Struthio camelus: one gene and its partners. Each later gene encodes a partner of the first gene's protein in a complex. Links are inferred from orthologs where the notes say so. Each region holds a gene or a part of one and is shown in the gene's direction. Other genes may lie near its edges. The genes, in order: CALCR, RAMP3 and RAMP1.

Region 1 (8,055 bases):
AACATGCTGGTCAGACTTACAAATGTAATAAAAAATTCTCACTGTTCACAGGAGCACACAGCAGAATAAAGATTTGAGGTAAATTTCGCCAGTGTTCACAGAACCAACATGAGCCTATGCACTACTTTAGTTTTACTTAAAACTTATTTCAAGGGCATAAGTAAGGCCCGAATGATGCATAGGCCCTGGGCCATTCTTACAAAGGTATGAAACTTTACCTCTGTAAATGTACATAGATATGTTTAGGCATTAATAGATAGATTCTTGCATTGTCTATAACTCCAAATAACATGAAGTTTCTCCTATAAAAAAGACATGAGTGAAGCAATAAGTGTAAAAGTTATGCTAATAGGACTTTGCAAGTATGTTTGATTTATGAAATATGCCTGCCAGTGCTTTGAGGAAATTTCATACTGCTCCTGGAATAATTTCCAAAGCAGATTTGTGTAACCTATAATATTTAATGATTTATATACCGTACATGCAGTAGCGAAGACATTTCTAGCTGCTGTTGGTGTGTTTAGTTCCCCTGAAAAGCTCTTCTTGTGATGCTTGGCTCAGATTGTCTCCAGAATCCACGCACACCCACTCACTGGCTGGAGTGGCCCAGAATATGAGCTTCTGCAGCGTGCCTGGAAATACCTGCTGATTCTGAGCGAATCAGATGCTCACTCTTTGGAAACTATCCCATTGCCTAGGTTTTCATTATCCTGTTTGCTTTCTTGTTTTCTTCCTCTGTACAGAGCAAGCAAACCATGCTCCGTTTCTGCCACCAATATTTATAATTATGGAGTGCTTTACTAAGGGTAGCATATATTACTATCTACTAAATTAAAGTAGTCTCATATATTGAAAACTGAACAGACTATAAATACTAATAAATGAAATTTCTACATTAGGGAATCTATTCGTTTTTCCTTGTCCTGTGAAAACATGCAAGCAATTGATGTTCTTGTGTTTTTCATTTCCCTTTTTCTTTTTTACTTCTGTGTTTCCTAATTACTGATTTGCCTTCAAATAAGATTCTTCTCTTTCAGAGGCACTTGTCTCTTTTGCTTTCACTACAAAACTCTTTTGGAGATCCTCTACAAGTGTCCTGAGATATGAATTGAAGAATCAGTACGTTGATAAAGTAATTCAGATAAATTAAAACCAGACATTTAAGCAAGGAGAAGAATTTAATTACTAATATTTTACTGTACGTTAAGAAACTGACTGAATTAAATCTATCATGACATAAGGCAATTTGTATATCATTTTAATCAGATGTTTGACGTTGGATAAACACATAAACCTTGAATTTCAGATTTCTAAAAACAAGGCTAACAAAATTAATCCATTAATTTTGAAAAAGATTACCTTAAAAAAACAGTTAATTGGAAGATTTGATGGTTTCTGGGATTAGTAATAAAATACACATAAAATTCCCATCACTAGGCTGTTGTTTGTGACCCAGATAAGGTTTCCTCCTTCTGCAAGGCTATTTTCCAACTATATTTCTAAAATATATTCCTCAGAATATTTCTAAAAACTAATGCTTTGCATGTCTAAATAGTTAGAGAAATTGTCCAGACAAGTATTCTTCTCCATTTCTCACATCCTTTTTTCTAACTTTCTCTTTTGATTTCTCTAACACCGATTAACTCTACCACATCACTGAAAATGCTGTTCTCAAAACCTCCTTTCTCCATTCTTGTTACCTTACTGTAGAGAACTAGAGGTTCAAGATGGATGAGGTTTCACAGAGGCTACACTGGCAGCAGAAATAATACGTGAGTTATAGCATAACCAGAATTAAGCATTACCCAAGCACAGCGGTTCTGATAATTCAAAAGCACACACTTGGCTCAATGTACAGTGCAATCCATATGAAAAAATAACAATATTTTGCTGTACAGGAAGTTGTTTAACATAATATAGAGTTTCAAATACATATTAGGCTGACAATTGTTATTGTCTCTCTACTTGCTGAGAGAAGAAAGATATGGGGTAAATGTATGTTTAAAGACATTCTGTGCTATGTTATGCAGCAGCTCATCTTACCCTGTGCTAACCTGTGAGAACTGACAGTCTAAGTTGTGCAACATATCAGAGCCCCAGACTTCTGAGTAACTCACCCACTGTGCCTCATTTTGATTATCTCTCTTCTGCTTTTCTGGTTTTACTCCTCCCCGTTCACCAAATGTACTCACATACCTGTCTGTAGGAACTTTACTAATTACGTCTACAACACCGTTGTGTTCCCCTAGCAGCACTAGACTAAGCAGTCCCTGTGCCTTCCAGCCACCTGAGCATTTCCGCACTTGCCCTGATACCGCCCTATACGCTTGGTGTGGACTTCTTCAACTGACAGCAGCTTCATGAAGCTGAAAACTTGTCGTTCTGCAAATCCTTAATCCCAGAGTGACCTGTTTTTTTCAAAATTAAAAGAAGTTACCCAGTTACCCAGCAGTTACCCTGGCCATGCCAGATGCATAGCGTGAACAGTAGCTATACTGACCATACACGTTTCCCTCTCACAGGGCATATTTGCAGGCAGGCACAATTAGGAAGTCTGTGTTGCTGCTAATAGCGCTATAATTACTCTCAGAGTTTTCAAGCCAGTGAGTTCTAGGAGCGCAAAGTCACGATTACAAAGTCACATGTAAACAACTTAAATATTCTCATGGAAGACTTAATGGGCCTGATCTAACTTGTACTCAAGGTAATGGCAAATTCCCCATTCTCTTCACCCTGAACTGCTTTAGGCCAAATTTACTATTATCATCTTTGCTTAAATGTTGTCTCCTACACCTTCCGTTTTGTCTTCCAAATAGAGAATGTAGTCCTTACTAAAATTAATTATGTATAATCTGCTTACCAAAAGGTACAGCATGCTTACGTGGTCTTCTGGACACAGCTCAAAGCTCAACTCTTCCTATGCTCCAAACCAACTAGATGTGAACAAATCCTTATCTGAAAGGACTAAACTCCAGATAATCCCTGTGTGGTGCACCATGCCACTTAAGGAAGATATGCAGACCATGAGTAGAAATTGTTCACCTCCAAAGAGCTTGCAGTGCAGACCTCTTCACAGAAGACTGTGGAAATGCGTCTATCCATAGCCTCCCGTGAAAAGTTTGTGAGTCCGGCTGGGAACTGCTTTGATTTTCATTTCAAATTCTGCACCAAAATTTCAAAACAAAATCAGGGCAGTGTTTGTTTCACAAGTGGCTTACTTATAATACAATTAAAAGTAGACAAAATATATTTTAAAAATTGGTGATGTTGTAAAAAGAGAAAAAATGTATTTTCCATGAGCCAAACTGCAAAAAGATACAAGTTTCCTTTGTATGTTTAGCTTGATAACAGAGAGAAATCACTGAAATTTTGGAACCAAGTTTGACATTTTAAACTTCTCGTGGATGAAGCAATACCATCCCCTCACAACATAAAATAACAGCTTAGCTGCCTCTGCTGTACAGAAGTCCAAGACTGCTGTTATGACTCCTGAGCACAAATAGAAAGAAATAAAACTATCAAGGTGCAGTTAATAATAGATTTGCAATGATTATTTATGGGCCTGGTCAGCATTGCACATGCATGCCAAATAGTAACTACTCATGCTTGCAGTCCCATGGGGCACAATGGAATTGCCTAAAGCAGAACAGACTAAATCAGAAATTGCTGCTTCTGTGTGCAAAGTAATGGTTAACAAAAGGGAGTTTATGTAAATTAAAGAAAAAAAAAGAAGTACAAAAACTATTTGCAGATTATGGGATGACAGATTTATACTTCAGCAGATGTACAGTACTCAGTGAGAAAACAGAGAAACATAAAATCTGTTTTGAAGTAAGTATAAAAACAGTCATTAAGAATGTGGCATTTTCCAATCATAGAATGAAAACTATTAGCCAGACAACAGACACGTCAAGAAAAGAGATGGATCCACTGTCCAAAAAACCTTTAGTAAGAAATTAGTTGCTTGCCTTCAACCATTGAGAAAAGCAGGTAGTCCAGCTGCTTTCTGTATCTTTTAAAGCAATCTGTACTTAGTTCGTTACCCACCCACATACCTACCTCTAAAACCACTGGAAAAGAGAAAATATTCCAGGCTACCAGGTATGAGGAAAGCTCCCTATTTTTCCTCTTTCAGCTTATCGTTACAGTGAAAGGGAGGGGAATTCTCCTGCTCTCTCTAGGCTTCAGCTCATGGTTTTGCTTCAGTGCTTCAACAGCTCTTCCTACGCAGACATCTTCAGCACCTAAAACTGTGACTTACCTGAGCTGGCCTAAGAGCAGCTGGACATGACTCCCGGCAGACGACAGGGGTGCTCTGCAGCAGTTCTAGAATTAACAGAAACCTCCCCTAACTTCACTGTTTCTCCCTGAGAAAGCTCCGAACAGAGAAGCAACCATGGCATTATGAGCTCTCATAAAGGCAGTTCCCACTGATTCTCCTTGCCTCCACAAGAAAAAGTGTGAAACCTACAGTGAAAGTTTAAATCAAGGGATGATGGTTTAGATCAGTATTCCCTGAGCATCTCATCTTTATAAGCCTCTCCCCCACCCAGTGAATATATCCAAAGGACAGATTTATCTGATAGTACTGTCTAGAGCTAACTTTTTACACAGCTGCTGGAAAACATGGCAATGGGTTCCTCCTTCATGTGGAAGTGGATAGAAAGGCAGTCTGCTATGTTTGCATGCAGATTTCTTTAAGGACAGGCTGAATTTTGCCATAGGCTGTATGAGAAAGTGAGTAATGAGTTTAGCAGTTTTAAAAATTGGGAAGCATGGAATACCTTGCTGGGTGGAAGAAAAGCATCTGAGAACCACTGCAGTAAGAGCTAACTTTCCCTTCAGAAGTAAGTCAGAAGATTTAAAAGCAGATGTCAAAGCTCCTTTTATTAGAGGGCAGAAATGTCCTTCTTGCAGGGAGACAAAAGAGAAAAGCTATTCTTAGCCTGGTGGCGTTACCTGTTTAGCAAGCTGGTTTGCTTCCTGACTCCATCTGCTGGGAAGACACCCTACTACCTGCTGTCTGCACTGCTACATTTGGAAGAAGTGCAGAGGTGAATCACTATGCTTTCTCTCGGTCTCTCTCACTGTGGCTCGGTGGAGATTTAAATATTAAGCAGCTTGGAATAGTTAAAACAGAGAAGAAGTCCTCCCGGAATACTCCACGCGCAATCCCTACATGCTCTCTTGCAAAGCGGGCATTACTGGGTCAGTTCCTTCCTCTGGCTTTCTGTATAGCAGGGGAATGTTCTTCTTAGGAGGCTAGAGGCTGTCCTCAGCCTCTCCCTTTGTTTAAAATGCTTACATAACTTTTGGAGCAGAAACTGGAATTTAGATGTCTTTGCTGGCCGGTGAACGTTGTAGCCACCGCTTGCTCTTCCTCTCTGGCTCAGGGAACGGAGAGGGAAGTAGTTCGCGCAAACTGCAGCAGACAGAGAGGGGAGCGAGCAGACCGTCCGCCCCCGAGCGCGGTGGACGCGGGACGGCGCCCCGGAGGCCGGCGGGGGCTCCCCGCGCCCGGCTCCGCCGATGGCGGCGCCGCACCCTCCTCGCCCTCCGCCTCCCTGGCTTTGCTCCTCCGAAGGATGCCCGCGGTGGAGCCGGCACGCTGGGCTCAGGTCAGAGGAACTTCTCTGTCTGCCGCGCAGGGAGGAGCGCGGGTGGCTGCGCCGGGCCGGCCCCTCCGCGCTCCCTCGCGGAGCCGCCGCGGAAGGGAGCCGGGCGCCCCGCAGGCCCGGGCGGCGGGGCCGGGGCTGCCCCCCGCACGCAGGACGGGTCAGCAGCCCCCGTCTCACGCCAGCAGAAAGCGCGCTCAGCCGCGGCGACCCGGCGCGGAGCGGGGACGGTCCCGCTGCCCACGAGAAGGCGGCCGCCCCCACGCCAGAGCCGTGCGTCAAAGCCCGGCCCGGCCCGGCTCGGCTCGGCCCGCCCGGCCGCCCCCCCGGAGGGCGCCGGCTGCCACCCGGCGGGGCCGCGGGAGGCGGGCGCGGGGGAGGCGCTGCCGCCGCCGCCGCCGCCGGGCGCTCTCCGCCGCCCCGCACCGGCGTCGGCGTCGGCGCGAAGCCCCGGCGGGGAGCGGAGCGGAGCGGGGGGTGGGCGCGTTGCAGCCGAGGCGGGCGAGAGGAGGCAGATGCTTCCCGAGGCACATCCCCTCCGGAGGGGCTCGGCCCGCCCGTGCTCCGGCTGAGGGGCTCAGCCCGCCCGCCCGCCGCCGGGGCGCGCCCGCCGGGACGCGGGGACCCGCCGCGCTCAGGAGCAGCCCCGGCCCCGGCCCCGGCCCCGGCCCGGCGTTTCGGGAGCCGCCGTGCCATGCTGACTGACTGACGGGAGCGCGGGCTGCGCTCGTCGCGGAGCCCAAGCGCTGCCGCGGTGGCCCGAGGTGACGGGAGGCCGGGAGAGGCGCCCCGCCAGCGCCCGGCAGCGATGCGACTGTAAGTCCCGGCAACTTCGCCCGCCTGCCCTCAACCCGCCGGCTCCGGGGCGGGCTGCGGCCGAGGGTGGGATGCCGCCGCGGGACCCGCGGTAGGGAGAGAGGGGGGCTCTGCTTCGGGGGGCAAAGCCTGGTTGCCAGCAGAGCAAAGAAAAGGAAAAAAAAGGGGGGGAGGGGGGGCGTAGGAGGTGTGAGCAGGAGCCCCAGGTGCAGCGTGCGCGGTGTTGCCCCCTCGGAAGAGCCGGGGGCTGCCGGCTGCGGTGCGCGGCGCTGCCCTCCCGGCGGGTGGGCAGGAGCCGCCCGAGCCTCGGCCGCGGGCCGGGCCGGGCGGCGGCGGCGCTGCGCGGGGATTGCGCGGGTGCGCGGCGCCCCGCCGGGCCGGCTGGCGTGCCCCGGCGGCCCTGCCGAGCGGTGCTGGCAGTGGCCGCCTGCCAAGGGGTTAAATTGCGTAAGGGCGACGGGAATTTATGAATTCTTGAGTTTTATTTTAGCTTTTGCGCTGAGGAGCAGGTCGCTTCCAATGCGGTATAAATTATAGATAGTAGCAGTTCTCCATCCTGGAAGTACAGGGCATTTAAATGACACCTGAGTCACTAGGCAATGTTTCTCGTTCGTGTCAGATATTATTTCCATGTTCTTTTCCATCTGTCGAACTGATATCTGTATTTCCTTTCTCATCTGACACTGCAAATGTAAAAACAACATTATTAGGTCTCAGAATATTGCCATTGATGACAATTCATTGATATATGAGACTATTTACTTTATGTGTCCAAGTACAATAGAAAGGCCTGCCAATTTTGTCTTTAAATTGCTGTATTGATTTCATTCTTGTGGGCTTCTTGACAAGGTTAAGGTAGTTGACAATTTGTAAAGAAAAGAGAAAAACTTCTGTTTTATTTCAGTTACAGGATGTCGATTGTAGCTGAAATAATGGACGAAAAAGTCATTGATAAAAAAGGAGTAAATAGAAAGGTGTGTATCCTGAGACCTTGAAGCTGATATCTTCAATATCTAACAAATGCCTTCCTGCCATGCTTTTAAGTTCACCAACTATCATTTCCTCTTCTTAAGGGTAGTACAGTACATGATATTCTTCCCAGGACTGTGCTCTTTTTCTCTTACAGGAGAGTTAAATAATCTGAGTAAAAGGAGTTTAGAGTAAATTAATCAAGTCAGCGCATCAAAATGCATTTGTCTTTTTGTAGGCACTGAAGCAAATAAAGCTTCCTCTTTGGTGGAAAAGTGTTCATAGGACAGTATTCAGGACCCCTGTGTTCATAGGACAGTATTCGGGTGGAGAACCTGTGTCTTTGGTCACTGGAAGGGACCCTGCATTTCTTGAGGGCTGAAAGAGTATCAGTGCTGACCAGGGCGAGGTTTCTCTGTTACCAGCAGCTCAAGCTGCAGGTGATATGTAGCTGAAGAGGGAATTTAATTTATCACTCAGAATCCTAAGCATAAGTGTGAAGTAGATAAATATAGGAGAGCTAATATTTCCTTTTAATTTTTTCAGACATCTGACAACCTTTAGCAGTAAGTAACCTTTGCTAAGTTACCTTTGCGATGCTTACTATAGCTGTCATATACTGGCTAACATTAAATTATTCTAAATGAACTAAAAT
Region 2 (8,012 bases), about 35 Mb from region 1:
TTTCTCTTATTCTCAGAGACACAACCATGTATGGAGACATCATACATATTCCCTGTTGGCATTTCCCAAGCTCCTCAGACAGTCTGTCATGAGAGAACTTAATGCATTTTCTGTGTAAAAATTCAGGGCCTTTAAAACATACCATACAGTGAAGTGTTTAAAAGAGCATAGATTAATATTGGCTTTATTTGGTCTAGGAGGAATAAAGCATTGTTCATATTTTATTAATGTTTACATTAAAAATGAAGGCATGATTTGTTTACATTAAAAATGAAGGCATGATTTGTTTCCTACGCCTGAGCCAAATTACAAAGACTTTCTTTTATACTCACGCTTCTGCCTGATGTACAAAAAGATGAATAGTAATGCGCAACAGGAAGAAAAGATCACAGGGTGTATCACTAGAGTCAAGCACAATCCTAGAATGCCTCTTACGATAAGAGGAAAAACAGTTGGAAATCAGCTACACATACTAGCTCCTACAGTTTAGCTCTGCGGTCCCTTGAAGAGATGCTTTTATAACATAGATCATAAAACAAGCCAGATCAGATGGAGTAAAAGTCAGAATGAATAGCATGTTAGCCATCTATATCTGTCAAAGCTTTGTGCCATGAGTTGCATTCCCATATTACTGCTGCTAAGGGAACCGAAGCAGGAAGAAAAGTCCTTCAATAGATCAGTTGCAGAGCAGGCTTAACCCTATGCCCAAGCTTCCAGTCACGTATTTTAAGCTATCCTGCCATTCTCAAGCCCCCATGTATCAGCATACATATAGGGACAGGCGCTTTAGCGGAGAGCCCTTGACTCTGGAATTTGCTCCTACCATCCCTCTGTTAGCATCCCAAAGCAGGGATTGTTTGTTGACTTCCAAGGAATGTTTCCTACCTTCGTTATGTATCTTGCATTTGAAGTTTGGGGGTAGGAGCCAGAAGGCCTCTATCTGGAGTCCTTACTATCGTTGTCCATTGCTATTTTGTGTAATTTGATTAACAACACTACTTTAAAAGAATCTTTCTTGTTTCTAGAGGATAGAATAGGGTACATACAGCTGTAGGGGGAAAATAAACAAAAGTCATCCTCTTTCACAGCAAATAAAATTCACTTGAACTACTTTAGTTCTTTATTTCATCCTGGAAGTAAATTCATTTCCATATAATATCTGTTCTGCTTTCCCTTGATGTCTGTCTTGACACTTCTGAAGCCATTTTTATTAGCCTTGATGGCGTGTAATAGTAGCTTGCTATGTTCTTTTTTTTTTTTTTTTGCATGAATGCACTTTAAAATACAAGAAAGCTAACAAAATATGAATATTCCAATTCCTTTAAAAAAAGTACACATTTTATACCAATGGGAATGCTGCCAAGTAATAATTGAGTAGCTCAGCATCTCAGAAAATGACAGTATTTTGAAATACCTACATGATGCTGATAGTTAAGCATCTAACCAATAAGAACCCCACTGAAATCACAGACCAAATTCACATGTATCTTAAAGTTTTGGAACAGTGCCATAAGTATTTGTGTACTCCCATAATCAGTGTCTGTTCTTATGTGAAAATCAAGGTATTTACATAGAAAAATGTCTTTTTTTCCCCCCTCTTTAGTTCAGGTCATGTAGGCATAAAGAATTTCAGCTAGTGAAATTTGATGTGCTTAAAATCATTTTAGCTTTATGTGCACTCAATACCACAGTCTGGTCTTTGAAAAATGTCTTTTCAGTCATAGGAAGATGCCATTTACTAATAATAATATTTTTAATATATTTGTATTTTTTCTACATTGGAGAAAAAAGACAGGAGAAAATGTTTGCGTGAAATTATGCAAGCAGAACACAGAGGAGGAAATGGTTTTAATTCAGGTCCTTTTTATGTATTTTTTTAAAATTTCTGGAATAGGAAAGACATGGTCGTAGGACCGCTGAATGGGAGAAGAAAGATTAACCAGTTGAAAGCAAGATGACATATTCTCAGTTTAAAAACAAAAAAGGCAGATGAGCTGAACCTCCACCTGCTCTTCCAGACCTCATTTCAGTAAACAATTCCATTAAGATGTGGTTTTAAAATCTTAATATATCTTTTATACAAAACTACTTATTTTGCTAGGAACCACAGAAGAAAACCTTCTGGCCCGCAGTGGATCAGATATCGATCTGCACAGACAAGTGGGTATTCTGTAAGGCCAACACTTCATGCTACAAGGAAGGGCAATGTTACTTTTCATGATGTAGTATCTTTACCTAGTTTTCTTCTGAACAGTTGTTTCTGCAGGATCAGTTTAACCTCTGCAGATGAGATTTCATTACATTATCTCACACAACTATGAATGATCTGGTGCTCATGATGATACCTGTCCTGTCTGGCTTGATTCCACCTCCCTTTTCTTGTTTCAAACTCCCTGAGAACTTTAACACTGCGACAGCCACTTACCTGTCTGTTGCTGTCATTTTTCTAGTCAGTGGCTTATTAGGAGGATAAGTATCTGAAACAATGCTTGAAGTGATGTGATGGCAGCATTCTCTGCAGGGTACCTGAAAATGGGTTGTTTTCTCTGGAGGCTGTATTTTTGAGAATTACAACAAACTATACTTTTGAGAATATTATTACTGCTTCTTGTCAAGGAAGGGATTTAGAGTTATATACAGCAGTTAGAATTTGTAGGATTTCTTATTTGAAGGCGAAACAGATTTCCACTGCTGGTATAGAGATGTGAAGTTGCTGAGGCAGATTTGCAAAATAAAAAGGTTCACAGCCTTTCTGAAGTAAATGTATTAGCATTACTGCAACTGATAGAAACAGTGTTAGTGAAAGCCTTTACACAGCTAAAGTTGCCTGTTATTGATAGTTCTAATCCCATGACAATTTTGTTCAGATATACCTGCATATCAGAATTACTCATTTTAATACATGTAGCTGAAGATACAGGCCAGCATAGTTTGCTTGTGCTCTATTATAACTGGACCATTTCTAAATTAGTGCATTTGCCTGTAAATTTTAGCTGTTGTTCTACCTTGAAGGTTTTACTTGCATCTTCATAATATCTGCCACAGATATAAAATGGGAAGTTCTGGCTGAATCTTGCTAGTTGAAAGCAGTAACTTGTGAATCTAGAAATCTGCCAGTTTTGCATGGAGTTTTTTCTAATCTGAAACAGGTGAAGATATTGAAAATAGATTAGAAGAAAAATGTCTGCATCATCTCCAATCCTGCATAATGTATATTGTAAAATATATGTATAATGTATGCTGCATCATTTGCAGTATATGAAGTATATGAGTGTCTTAACACTCCTGAAGACTGGTCCAAATTCTTGGAAATACTATTTGTGATGTCAGAGATTGACTGTAACAGATTTTGAAAGGGAAATTGAAATCTCACTGTTAGGAGGGATGCTATAGTGAGTCTGCAGCGTGTGGAGCTTCATACTTGTCACTACTCTGCGTTCTGTAGTCCTTTTGATAGGAGTAGCTTGCAGATACTCCTTGCAAAGCAGAGGTGCCAGCCCCTCAGTTGAAGGAGGATCTCCCTGACCTATTGGTTATTTATGGCCCGTGGAATTTTACCAGATTTGCTTTTAGCTAAGAGGAAGAAGCGGCACGCAAATAAAGGAGGTTCATTGTAACTTATGCACTTGAATGTCTGTAGAGCCACTTCAACACATTGCATTCACAATCATCTCTGTGGTTTCTCAAGTTTTCCATTTCCTTCAGCCTAGATAACAGCATAAATTAGACGGCTGCTTTTAGTCTGTGTATGGAGTACTTTGCCTTCAGATACCGGTAGCATAATCCTGTAGCATTGGGGTCACTAGCTGGAACTCTCCAAAAACTTTGAAAGTTACTCTTCCAGGCAGTATTTAAAGTCAATGTGAACAACCCAACTGATGCAGAAATGTACATCTGTTCTTGTGTAGGACATTAGCATTTTTTGAAGTCTCAAGTTTTGCGATACATCCGACCTTCAACAATGGCAGTAACTTCATGTTCTGCTCACACGCAGTTCTTGAGGTTGAGCGTTCCTGTACTTAGAAACACGCTCTGGCTCCTTATTAAAATTGAACAGTATAAATATTGTTAGCCAAGAAAAGGCTTCATTAGTGGCTTCTCAGTGTGGTGGTTCTTGCTAGGGATGCTAATTTCCTAGAGAGAGAGCTCCAGGAACACAGCCTTTAACTGTTGATGACAATGAGGAGCTGTACCACTCCCCCTCTGGATAGAGCTGTACAGAGACAAAATGGCAACAGGAAAATACATTAAGCATTTTCTTCAAGGTCCTGGCTCCTCTGTGCTGGCATCAGTGCAGGGTTAGGATAGCTCTCTGCACATATTCAGCTGTAAATACTAAGGAGGCTAATATGTTGGTCCCCAGTGACCTCCAGCCACTCACGCCTTTGTCCGTGCTGCCAGCGTGTCACAGCAAGAGAGGGGAGGCTACTCTGACTCCTGGGGTGGGGGGGCAAGAAGTCTCCCATGGGATTCCTGTGGCTTGCTGTGGCTCTTGGAGGGCCCAGAGGCACGGCAGCACTTGTACGCATGCGTGTACACTCACATGTGCATGCTCTAATACATACTGACATGTGTGCGTGATCACATGCACACACACACACCTATGCACTTACATGCATGCACACTGACCTGTGCGCTCATATGCACCAAGCATGCATGCACATGTGCACACACACGTACACATGCACTCTCAACATGCATGCACACATGCAGGCACTGACATGCACCCATGTGCACCCAAGCACACTCATGCTTGCACACGAGTGCACCCATGCATGGACACAGGCACGCAAATGCACGCACTCACGGGCGCGTTCGCACGCACCATGCATGCACACATAGGCGCACACAGCTCCCTCCGAGGCCGTTACGCCCCCGCCAGCAGCCCCGCCGCAGCCCGCCCCCGCGGGCCCCGCCCGGCCGCGGGGCCGCCCCCGGCGCTCAGAGCACCCGGGGGCGGAGGAGCTGCGCCCCTCCGCGCCGCCCCCGCTGCTGCCGCCGCCGCCGCCCGGGGCTGGACGCCGCGGCATGAAGAGGAGCCTCCCCGGTGGGGGGGCTGAGGCGGGCCCGAGCCCTGCGCGGCTGCGGACCGGCCGCCCCATGCGGGCTCCGTCCCCCGCGGCCGCTCGCCGCCGCCCGCGCCGGGATGGAGGCGCCCAGCTGCTGCCGCCGGCGGCAGCTCCCCGTCCTGCTGCTGTGGGGTAAGTGGGGGGCGCCTGCCGGGGGGGCGTCCCGGCCACTGTGCCGAGGCGCTCCGGGACAGCGGCGGCCACCGAGGTGTCCCCGCTGCGCCTGCCTTGCCGGGGGGGGGGGCAGCGAGGGGCTGCGGAGCATCCTCAGCCGTGCGAGCGCGTCCCCGGGGGCGGGCGGGCATGAAGTTGGGCATAGGCGGGAGCTCCCCGCCGTGCGTGTGTCCCCCGGCCCTGCGGATCATCTCTTGGCTGGGGGGGGGGGGGGGTGTCCCTTGCGATAGCCATCGCGGGGAGCGGGCGGCGCGGGAGGGAGGCGGAGAGGCGGGCGGCTGCCCCGCGGGGGGAGCCCGCCCGAGCCGCGCTCCGGCCGCGCCGGGCGGGGAGGCTGCGGGGCGCTCGGCCCCCCTCGGCTCTCCCGCGGGCTGGAGCCGCCGGCCTCGCTGGGGAAATACTCCCGAAGCCCCGCGTGGGGAGTGACACAGCGGGTTGCGCACCGGCTACAGCGGCTAGGGCCGGCGGGCAGGCAAGACGCGACATCAGCAAGGCGAGCGGCTGCTTAATCGCTGGTCCCACATCTCGCAGACGGATACTGCCAGGAGATAAATCCAGAAATGCTGTACTGTGCGTTGATACCTTACCCTCCTCCCCCCACCCCAAGAAAGATGATCTGACCGATTTTTGCTGTTATTTAGCTGTCAGATCCCAAATCTGATTCTGGGAAGGCAGGTTTGATCTTTGGGAAAGAGGAGGGTTTTCTGCTTCTGCTGAAGGATTGATTGCAGTTAGGATGTGTTCTGTTACAAACAGCCGGTTGTAAAAGTGCAGATATCTTTCAGAGCCTTCATTTATTTAATTCAAGATTAACTCTGCTGTTAGAAGTACTTCATTTTTCTCTTGTCAGGCAGCTTGCTTTAGGATGCCCAGATGTAATGTGCTGTAGGCAGGTTTAAAGTTGCTGGGAGAAGTCCGTTCTGATCTTCCTCACTCTACAGTAACCCCAGAAATGTGAGTTAATTCCTTGTGAGTCACAGATAGGGAAGAAAATCAGGCCTCATACATTTTAAAAGGGTTATCTGAGGACTCTCTAACTTTGTTTGCTAACTTGATGCCCCTTTCAAAGTACAAAGTTGGCAAATACTGCACATCTTTCTGTGAAAAGACCTATAAATAAATGGATAGTTGTTTCTGACAAGGTTTGGTAGCACTGTCTTGATTTGATCTGTAAAAAGAATGACACATCAAATGCTTAAACTTTCTGATTCTCTGTGGCTCAAGGATTGCTAAAATCTTACCTTGATCACACAAGCTTTTTGTTGCTTCCTAACTGAAAAAGAATAAAAAATGGCCAACACCTGTCTTGACGCTTAAGGATTTATTTTTTCAGTGTTAAATTTAGGGAACCAAGCAGTCTTTTTTTTGACTGGGAAGACATCAGGGTGTTGTCGTGACTTTTACAATACAAACCTGATTACCGGAGATTTATTTTCAGAGAATGAGCGCAGTGAGGAGTAACGTCCCTTGTAGCTCAGAAAGCTAGGAAACGTTTTTCACCAGAGAGACACTAACCACTAAATCAGGTGTTAGAAATTTTTGCCTGTGCTAGTTGCTTTCCTAACATAAGGTTGCAGAAGAACTGATTTTGATGGTATCTGTTAGCTGATAATGTATTACTTTTGACTGAAGTTTGAAAGGGTAGATGCACTGAAGAACAAAATGCAATTAGACTAATTTCCTGCTAGAAAAGCCATTTAGGAGTTCTGAAAGTTTTATAATGTGAATTCCTCATGATAAGGAATGCTTTAAGTGGCAGAAAACCAAAGTCGTTCTTTCTCAAGTAATATAAATGTACTTTTATGTCAGTTATTCCTGAAGGATTTTCACTTGAATTGATCATGTTTTCTTCCACGTTTCCTAATGGCTTCTGCTAACCAGAGACCCATGAATGCGGTCTTTAAGGTAAAGATGTTGCCATGATGCCTCAGTGTTAGCTCTCATTGAATTCGGTGGGAATTCTGTCTGCATAGGGATTGAGACCTTACTTCTCTAAACTCAAACTACTGCTTTCTGCATATCTTTCTGTCTAAAGCTCTTAAAAAACATTATCACTATACAGAACCATCTGCTGAGTGTCATCACTCTTTTGCCAGGATGGCAAGACAGGCAGCGTGTTTGCTCCCTGGAAGCTTAGTAATTACTGCAGAAGTGGGATTTGCTGTGATGTGGGTGTGCGGGGAAGCTGTGAGCTGAGGCAGCTGGTACACAAACAGTTAATCTGTACTGATTCCCCCTATGAAGTGCTGATAACATCCCAAATGTGGTGAGATGCACAGCTGGAAACTTGAGCTGTCAGGTGAAATCCTCATACTTTGTTTAGCAGAGCCTTAGATACTTAGAAGGCATCTACTTACTGTCATCTAATCACCTTGGAAACAATGATGTATTTAGCAAAATACTTTGAGATGTGGTTATTCTCTTTTTATGTATAGAAACAGGCATGGAGAAACTTCAGGGCTTGACCAGGATGTTTAACAGAACAGGTTGTTTTTTGTGTTTTTTTTTTTGTTTTTGTTTTTTTTGTTTTAAACAAATGGTTGTTATTTTGACTTCCTTCTCCAAACATTTGCTCTTTCATCCTTTAGATAATGTCTGCATTTCAGGGGTACTATTTGTACCAGATTAAAGCTACTTTTTTTTTTAATTCTGGAGGAGTTTCTCTCTCTCTCTCTCTCTCTCTACATACATATATAATATATATAAAATATCTCTATAGAAAGAGACAGATTGCATGACAGTTACCATCTTGAACAGTTTTCCCATGTA
Region 3 (7,497 bases), on another chromosome or scaffold:
GTACCAAATTCTTCATGCTCTGATTTTGGTTTCAAGAATATAAGGAGTCAGTTTGGATGTGTGGAATACTAGGAAGAGGAGATACTGATTTAATTACAAGACCAGTAGTATTTATGGTGATAGCTGGACAACTGTAAGGACCTTTACCACCCTTTGCATGTTGTTTATCAGACTTAATTCTCCAGGCTAGGTATTTATGTACATGTGTCAGTAGCATATAAGTAGACTACAGCAAAACCTTAACTTGAGCAGAACTTTTGTGCATTAAATACTAGAACTGTAATAGAAATCGATCCTGCCCAACCAGGTGAAATAGAAGCCTGGAGTAGAAACGATTCCACAGATGCATTAACAGTACAAATACTTGCTTATAGGCTATTCTTGGTCATTAATTCACCCCAGGCCTTATTCTAGGAAGGACTATCAGTGATCAGAGAAGTCCTTCAGAAAGACTGAATGTAGAGTAAGTGCTGAATACAGAAACATTGGATAGGATTTTAAATCCAGCATGAGATTATACCTGCTGTAGTGATGGTGAGGGTGAAAGACTCCCAACCAATATGCATGCTTGGCTGAGTTCCTTTTGCAGTGACTAATGTAATGCACGTTTGTTGGTTTGGCACTTGACTACCTTGTAAGCTTTTGCTGATGCTCCGTACGAATCAAAACAATGTTTAAAAAAAAAGTCTTAATAGTGATCTGCTGATTTACTTCTACAGGATTGCAAATACGGATGTAAACTCATCAAAAAAACTTATGTTATACTTCACAGTATTTTCCATTAGTAAGATTTTAATAGCTTTCGCGTGTGTTGCGCTTGTCAAATGGTTTTAAAATAGCATGAGTGCTTTGCAGTCAGAATTACTTCGACAGTAGTGTTTTTTGGTCTATGGCTTTGCTAAGGAGAGATCATTTAGAACAATTTTTACTTGCATAATGAGGGAGCTGTGAAATAGCCAAGTCATTAGTGAGTAATGGAAGAACTGTAAGCGTGTAAGTCAAATGTTTAAGAAAAAATGATTCTGGTCAAAGTTCTTTTATAGAAATTCTGGTTTGTGTATAGCTTCAGACTTCCTTGAAAGGTAAACACTTGGAAACCTTATGTTCTTGCAAAGTGGTGAAACATGGAACACAGTTTTATAGATACTACTTTTATGTCAAGCTGTGTTACGCAGCATTTTATGCATAACAAATTCAGCTTCAAAGCATCCTACCGACTCACTTTTTTCCCCCTGCCCCGCTTTGGCTGAATTAGCCCAGAGGTTGATGTATAAATGTTTATAGATCTTGCATATTTGTTAATTTTGAAGCCATAAGTTCATTAGAACAGGTGAGAGGTTGTTAAACCTAATGGCAGTCAACAGTTAACAAGAAATGCGATGATATGACAGCTATTCAGAGTGGTATTAAAAATGGCCGTTTCCCTTACAGTGCCAGTGTCTGCAGTTGGTAGTTTTCCATGAAATTAATAGTAAAGATCTAAAAACAGACATTTTCTGCTTATTGAGATTTGTCCCATCAAATCATGATTAAAATGCATTACTTGAGCAACATAAAGAAATGCATGGAATCTGTACAGTGTCTTTTGGCAAGTATGTTTTATTTTAAGGGTATCCATCTGGCACTCCTGAGTGATACCGAAATTCTGTCCAGCCCAAATGCACACACTGGTAGTATTCACTGCTTTCAAGTCTGGATTTTAGAAAACTGGTAGCGAAACTCGGTTTGTTTTTTATACTATAAACTGGTTTCTAGGAATGGATTTCTAAAATGTAAAGTTTACATCTTCCTTTTTTTTTTTTTTTTTTTTTTTTTTAAACCAGTGTCGACCAGATTTGTTACACAGAGATTATATATTTTATTTTCTTTTTAATCACTTCTTTCACATGGTTCTTGAAGCTAGGAAACTTCTGCATGCAGACTTCCTCCAAACTCTGTAGCAAAATTATCATAGCTTTTACTGATTTTTCTAGCACGCTAAATTTGCTGGTGTTCCTTTTATCTCAGTTCAGGTGTATTCATGCTAAATTTACCTGCTTCCTCTGTTTGTTTGTTTTTAAGGTGATTTCTCTGACAAGGAGGAATTGATCATCTCGCTTGGAAGATTTTGCAAACTCTGTACTCCAGCTTGTTCCAGGATCATATTGTGTTTCTTACTGGTTTTACTGCAGCGGATCTTAATGAAAATTCACGTAGCATCATCGCATGATTTGTGGTCTTATGCGAGACAAAATAACCTGAAGATCGCTTGGGGGTGTCTTTTTGTGTATGAAGATCTTAAGTGGTTCTTCCCAGTTTTCCTGTTCTCCACAGTTGGCTCAAGCATTCAACAACAGGTTTCTCTAAGTGATATAATTAAAGGAGAATGTTTCAGTGAAACAGGACTTCTCCAATACTGGAAGGACGTTTCTATGCTTAGTGATCACTGAAGTAGACAACCCCCTTAATTCTTATACACCTCTTAATTTTAGGCATTTTAGGTAGCTGGTAAGTTGGTTCAAAGTACTACATGTTTAATAAATTGCCAACGTGTTTAAGTTCTTTCCAGATCATCTCATTCTGAATAGTTTGTAGAAATCTCACGTATCCTTTTAACACAAGGCAGGGAAGGGACGACGTCAGAGGAAGCTTTGTTTTACAAAACCAGGCCTCAGTGTTTCCCATACTCATGGACTTTGTTACGTAAACTGCAGTGTTACAACAGCAGCAATTATTCAGGAGCAGAGTGATCTTGAGTCCATTTTCATTTGGCAGTTCTGTAACGTGCTTCTGAGTCTGATGGCCAAATACTTCCTTCAGGATGATGTTCCACCCTAGACTTCTTTTCAGAATATGGAATTTTTTTTTTTTTTGGTCTTATAAATCCACTTCCATGGCTGTAAACAGAGGATGGGTGCCTAAATCCTTCCGTTGTGCCACATAGCCTGGTATAGTGGGACATCCCCCAGAGGAAACTTGGTTTGCGTTGCATAAGTTGACACAAGGGGAGGGGGAAGGATGGGGGGGATGCAAGCGTATTCTTTTGTGTGTGTGGTTAGTGTACAGAAGGGGTATAGCTTTTAAATCCTCTTCTAGCAGATGAAGAAAAGGCAGCTTGGGTGTATGTGTCTGGTAAGGGGGTGAGGAGAACTATCTTTGCTGCTGCCAGGCCCATGTTACCGTATCGCATGGCGAGGCAGTACGTTGTGGCTGTCCAAATCTCTCTCTTTGTTATACTTTGTTCTCGATCCAGGCTGCATTTGCTGCTGAAAAGAGTCTGTCTTGCCTGTGAATAAAGGTTAAAATTTCTTCTTCAAAAAGTTGTGCTTATGTTTTGCTGTTTTCACATTTCATCTCTTCCCTCTCCTCGTAGCAGAACTATTGCAGACAACGTGCTCAAAGCCTAGCACTGTGTTTCGCAGCTGATGTTTTTAAGTTGGATCCTGAAGCTGCAGTTGAGGCCTCGGGTCTGTTTTCTTCCCCGTTCACATCAAGATTAAAACAGCTCTAGGCTTTGCTCTGCCCTGTTATTTGGCCAGCCAATGCTGCCCTTTCCCTTCCCCAGACTTGATTCTGTAATTAAACAGGAGTTATTAGTGCTGTAGGTAAAGCTGACTTTGTGGCTTTGTTCCTGTTGGGAAGGCAGACGCATGCCTAATGTTGAAACGCTGAAACGAGGCCTGGCACGCTGCAGCGGTTGCTTGTTCATGCAGCCTTTTCAAAGGGAGAGCTAACTCAAACGGTGAGAGAAGGCGTTTGTGGGGTGGCGAGGAGCACCTCCTGCTCCGCCTGACCTCTGTACAGCTGGAGACCTCGTTCGTCTGGATGTGTGTGCTCTTAAATTTCTGAAGAGCCCAAGCGAGGCACCTTTCCACATTCGGGCTGGGCAAGAGTTCAGTCGATGAGCTGCAGGTGGAGCTCTACTTGCTCAACAATGCTTTTGCACTCCAAGTAATACATACATATGTGGTGGGTGGGTGCCTGTGTGTACGTATACATGTATGTATATTCTTTCTGAAGTTGCATGACCACAAGAAGGTAGTGTCCAAGAGTCTGTAAACAAAGAAAGGGAAGGCATGCTTCTTCTCCTTAGGCTAGAGGGAGCACCTTAGCAAAAAATGGAAGGAGGGCAAAGGAAAACGTGTGGGGAAGAAAGGATTTCCTTGGGTTTTCCTTTGAGAAATTTTCCGTTCCCTTGCCCCGCTCCCCGTCTCTGGACACCTACCTGCCTGCTCCGAGAAGATGGAGTTAACTCCAGCTCAGCTGGGCGTGACAAATCTCAGCTGAAGTCATCACAAAGAGTGGTTGGCTCCCCCCCCCCCCCGGCCAAAAAAACCAAACAAACCCACCACTCCGACAAACCAGTTAGAGACGGTTTACAGGACAGAAATCCCAACACGGGAGGAAAGCGCTCGGGAGAGGGAGGGAGGGAGGGAGGGCCCGGCGGCGCTCCCGCGGGCGGCCGCGCAGCGGGGCTCGGGAGGCGGCGGCGGCCGCCGGGCAGGTGGCTGCGCGGAGCGGCTGAGCGGCGCGGCCGCCCCCGCGCCCTTCCCACGGGCGGGCGGCCCACGGCGCCGCGGATGGCGGCTCTCCTACCTCGGCGCTTCCTCTGCTTCGTGCTGGGTGAGTGCGCGCCCCGCCGCCGAAACCCCCGCCCGGGGCTTAGAGGCAGCCGGGCTGTTCCTCGGGTCAGTGCGTTAGCGTCCTTTTCCTGCCGGGAGGTACCGTCCCAGCGGCTCCGAGCGCTGGGGAATAGCAAGGAGCCTAAAGGCGGCCCCTAAACGTGCCGGGGCGGGCGAGCGGTGCTCCCTGGCGCGCCCCGCTGCGCCCGACGCCCTTTCTGAGATCTTAGGTTTTCCCAAAGCCTGCTCGCTTTGGATGACTTCCTCTGCCCTTTCTTCCAGAAGTTCAGATCAGCTACCAGGAGGCTGTTTCAGGATCCCCCCCCGCCGCCCCCAACCACCACCGTTTCTGAACGGGACACGCGGAAAGGGCCGCGACTGTTCTCGCCACTCGTCTCCCTCGCGGAGGTTTCGGACTCGCTAGGTGCTGCCGGTCCAAAAATCAGGTTGGAAATTCTCGCGCTACGCGACGGTTTGCGCCCAGGGCGCTCCGGCCTTCTTCAGTGCTGGGGGGGGAAAAAACCCGGACCCTGCGTTGGTAGCACTCGGAATAAGAAGCGTATTTATTTAAGGTGACTTAAAAGGGAAACCGCACACCATCCCTGTGACACTGAGCTGGCAGGAAACTGAAGCACTCTTTGAGGAAACTCAGATTTCTTCTCTTTCTCCTCCTGTCCGTTCTCCCGCGCTCTTTTTCTGCTCCAAACCCTGGTAAATAATGTATCGAGCTCCGCCGCATACAACGCTCTTCTCCGTGCAGCGTCATAAACTATTTACTATCTTGCAGCCTGTGACTGTTCACAGGGAAATACAAGACGGCGCGGTCAGACAAAACGCATTCTCCGTGGTCGGTGGTAGAGAAACGCTCAGTGTACCTGACGAAGCAGGAAACAGTATCATGTTAATGCCTGCGATTAGCAATTCTTGATTATCTCGGATTTTTCTCTGCTGTGTTTTTCTAGTCCCTTTCCCCTTTGTTTCTTTAAAAACAAATTAGAAATCAGCTTCTTAGGCTTTCTTACCCGCCAGCAGGTTAAGCATTGGTTGCCCCCTTGTTTCTCACGCGAGACAATCAAATGTAATATTATAGTAACCTGCTAAAAAAAAAAAAAAGAGGAGGAGCCCCGTCGGGAATGCTTAGCGAGAGCCCAGTCCTAAAAAAACAAAACCCACCGACCCCTCGTGTTTATTTGCCGTCCCCGGAGCCGTAACGCCGCGGGGATCCTGTGTGTGCCGTCGTGGGCCGCTTTTCCCAGCTGTGAGCGCAGGATTTGAGTTGCGAGCGGGATTCCCGGGGGTTATTTTCACAACTGGGACGGCCTCGCCGGTCGAGGGACTGGGAAACCTCCAGCGGAGCAACAACATGCTGCAGCACCCCAAATCCGGACTAAAACCAACCCGTACAGCACAAGCGCCCTCTCCCAGCCTCTGCCATGCCGTCTGCCGCTTTCGTTCGCCGGCAAAACGGAAACGCAGTGGGAAATCCCGGCTGGGCCGGCGGTGCGTGAGCATCTCTGACCCCGTTGCGGGAGCATGGCTGTTTCTTGGTTGTGCTTCCCTCCTGGCTTATCCTGGTTTTAGTGAGGGGTCTCCACTCTCCGACCCCCCGGTCCGAAAGGGAGAGAAACGGTGCCGCTGCGGTTCGAGAATAGCCGGCTCGGGCTTTCTTGCCTTCCCAGCAGCCTGTGGCAGCAGGAAGGCTCCCTCTGTGCAAGCCACTTAGCCGTGATAGATGACAGATAATTGCGGCGCTGAGCGGTGGGTACGTTTGGTTTGTCCTGCGTCCTCTCTTCACTGGGTTTTTTTTTTTTTTTTTTTGAGCACATTCTGCACTATTAGCAAAAAAAAAACCAAAACCACGCCACCAATTCGACGCGTCCTCCCTGTCTCCCGCAGGAGCCTTTGCAGGGCTTTTTGGCTGCGGGGATGGAGCCCGTGAGCTGGCGCTGCCAGACTCCCGTTAGCTCCGAGCCAGATGTTGCCTCCTAAATCCGCGTGCAACCCCCCCCCCGCTCCGGGCCACGAGAGGGTGAGGCAGCTCCGCGCTCAGCGAGGACCGTGACACCCCCTGGCCCCGGGGGTGCCCGTCCTGGCAGCATCAGCTCAGCCTCCTTTTCTATGCCGAAAAAGCCTTTTTGAGCTGCCCGGGCTTGAAGCGACTTTGCAGCTGGCTGCCGAGTCCTTAAAAAGCCGCGACGGTGAGGATGTCAACTGTCCAAAAATAGCTGCAATCTCAGTCAGCAGACCCAAGGTGTAGCCGCACCCTGAGGTCTCAGGTAAAGGTTAAAAAATGGGGCTTTTCCCGGTTCTTTGGCCGCGGTTCCCTGCCGAGGCCGGCAGGCAGGAGGCAGCGCGCCTCGTTCGCTCTCGCCGAATGGACTGAGAGCTTTGAAAGCGACGGGTCCAAACTGAGAGTCATCACTAGACCCGAGCGAGCTCCTACTGCTGCAAGAGCTGGCTGCAGAGCGTCGCTCGCTTACGAGGGGAGAAAACCCTTAAAAAGGAAAATAGCTTGTTCCCAGGCTGCTCGCGGGAAGGTTGTAGTCTGGAAACCGTTATGTCGAAAGCGTTTAGGCAACTTGCTCCTCTTTGCAGCCTCTGATGAACGCGCCCACGGGGCATTGCGGCCGTTTATTCTGTTTCCCGCCTTACTGCATTTGATTTATCCGTGTGGTCGCTTCTTTGCGGGCCATCTGCTTGTTTGCGTGAAGAGTATTAGTCTTGGAAGCACCTTCTCGTCTTGGAGGTGGTTACATCCAGGGCGTCCGCTGGCTGGTCCTGCCTCGGTCCCGGTAGCAGGGATTCGGCCGGGGAGAGATTTCCGCGAGCCTGGGGAAGGGCTGTTCTGGGGGCTTCCTGGGGCAATCGCCCGATACTGTCGGGAGTTGCTGCCGGC

The links.
Region 2: the proteins of CALCR (region 1) and RAMP3 are in contact, whole or in part, in a cryo-EM structure (PDB 8F0K), measured with the Homo sapiens proteins. The link is inferred for Struthio camelus from reciprocal best matches to the Homo sapiens genes CALCR and RAMP3. Residues at the interface, in NP_001158210.1 of Homo sapiens: Arg45, Lys46, Met49, Asp50, Gln52, Tyr53, Lys54, Tyr56, Asp57, Met59, Gln60, Arg74, Thr75, Trp76, Asp77, Gly78, Asn124, Arg126, Phe235, Leu238, Ile242, Thr246, Gln257, Arg258, Trp261, Tyr262, Leu264, Leu265, Phe269, Ile276; in NP_005847.1 of Homo sapiens: Cys57, Leu59, Ile63, Tyr66, Glu67, Thr70, Tyr83, Trp84, Pro85, Gln90, Ile93, Thr94, His97, Arg98, Phe101, Ser102, Cys104, Val106, His110, Leu111, Glu112, Asp113, Pro114, Val118, Leu119, Leu122, Ile123, Pro126, Val127, Leu129.
Region 3: the proteins of CALCR (region 1) and RAMP1 are in contact, whole or in part, in a cryo-EM structure (PDB 9AUC), measured with the Homo sapiens proteins. The link is inferred for Struthio camelus from reciprocal best matches to the Homo sapiens genes CALCR and RAMP1. Residues at the interface, in NP_001158210.1 of Homo sapiens: Arg45, Lys46, Met49, Asp50, Gln52, Tyr53, Tyr56, Asp57, Met59, Gln60, Gln61, Thr75, Trp76, Asp77, Gly78, Asn124, Arg126, Phe235, Leu238, Ile242, Thr246, Val250, Ala251, Gln257, Arg258, Trp261, Tyr262, Leu265, Phe269, Ile276; in NP_005846.1 of Homo sapiens: Trp59, Ile63, Tyr66, Arg67, Ala70, Asp71, Phe83, Trp84, Pro85, Val89, Asp90, Phe93, Leu94, His97, Gly98, Phe101, Ser103, Arg109, Ala110, Val111, Arg112, Asp113, Pro114, Ile118, Leu119, Phe122, Ile123, Pro126, Ile127, Val129.

The regions. Positions count from the first base shown.
Region 1 is NC_090943.1:27,947,474-27,955,528, reverse strand, and holds the start of CALCR (calcitonin receptor), read left to right. Parts: upstream 1-5,015; 5' UTR 5,016-5,179; coding exon of another isoform or gene 5,180-5,208; 5' UTR 5,209-5,529; coding exon 5,530-5,618; intron 5,619-6,213; exon of another isoform or gene 6,214-6,423; coding exon of another isoform or gene 6,424-6,431; intron 6,432-8,055. UniProt on the Homo sapiens protein: G protein-coupled receptor activated by ligand peptides amylin (IAPP), calcitonin (CT/CALCA) and calcitonin gene-related peptide type 1 (CGRP1/CALCA).
Region 2 is NC_090943.1:62,830,955-62,838,966, forward strand, and holds the start of RAMP3 (receptor activity-modifying protein 3), read left to right. Parts: upstream 1-4,943; 5' UTR 4,944-5,146; coding exon 5,147-5,201; intron 5,202-5,788; exon of another isoform or gene 5,789-5,803; coding exon of another isoform or gene 5,804-5,813; intron 5,814-8,012. UniProt on the Homo sapiens protein: Accessory protein that interacts with and modulates the function of G-protein coupled receptors including calcitonin gene-related peptide type 1 receptor (CALCRL), calcitonin receptor (CALCR) and G-protein coupled estrogen receptor 1 (GPER1).
Region 3 is NC_090947.1:4,641,283-4,648,779, forward strand, and holds the start of RAMP1 (receptor activity-modifying protein 1), read left to right. Parts: upstream 1-4,456; 5' UTR 4,457-4,559; coding exon 4,560-4,602; intron 4,603-7,497. UniProt on the Homo sapiens protein: Accessory protein that interacts with and modulates the function of G-protein coupled receptors including calcitonin gene-related peptide type 1 receptor (CALCRL) and calcitonin receptor (CALCR). Required for the transport of CALCRL to the plasma membrane.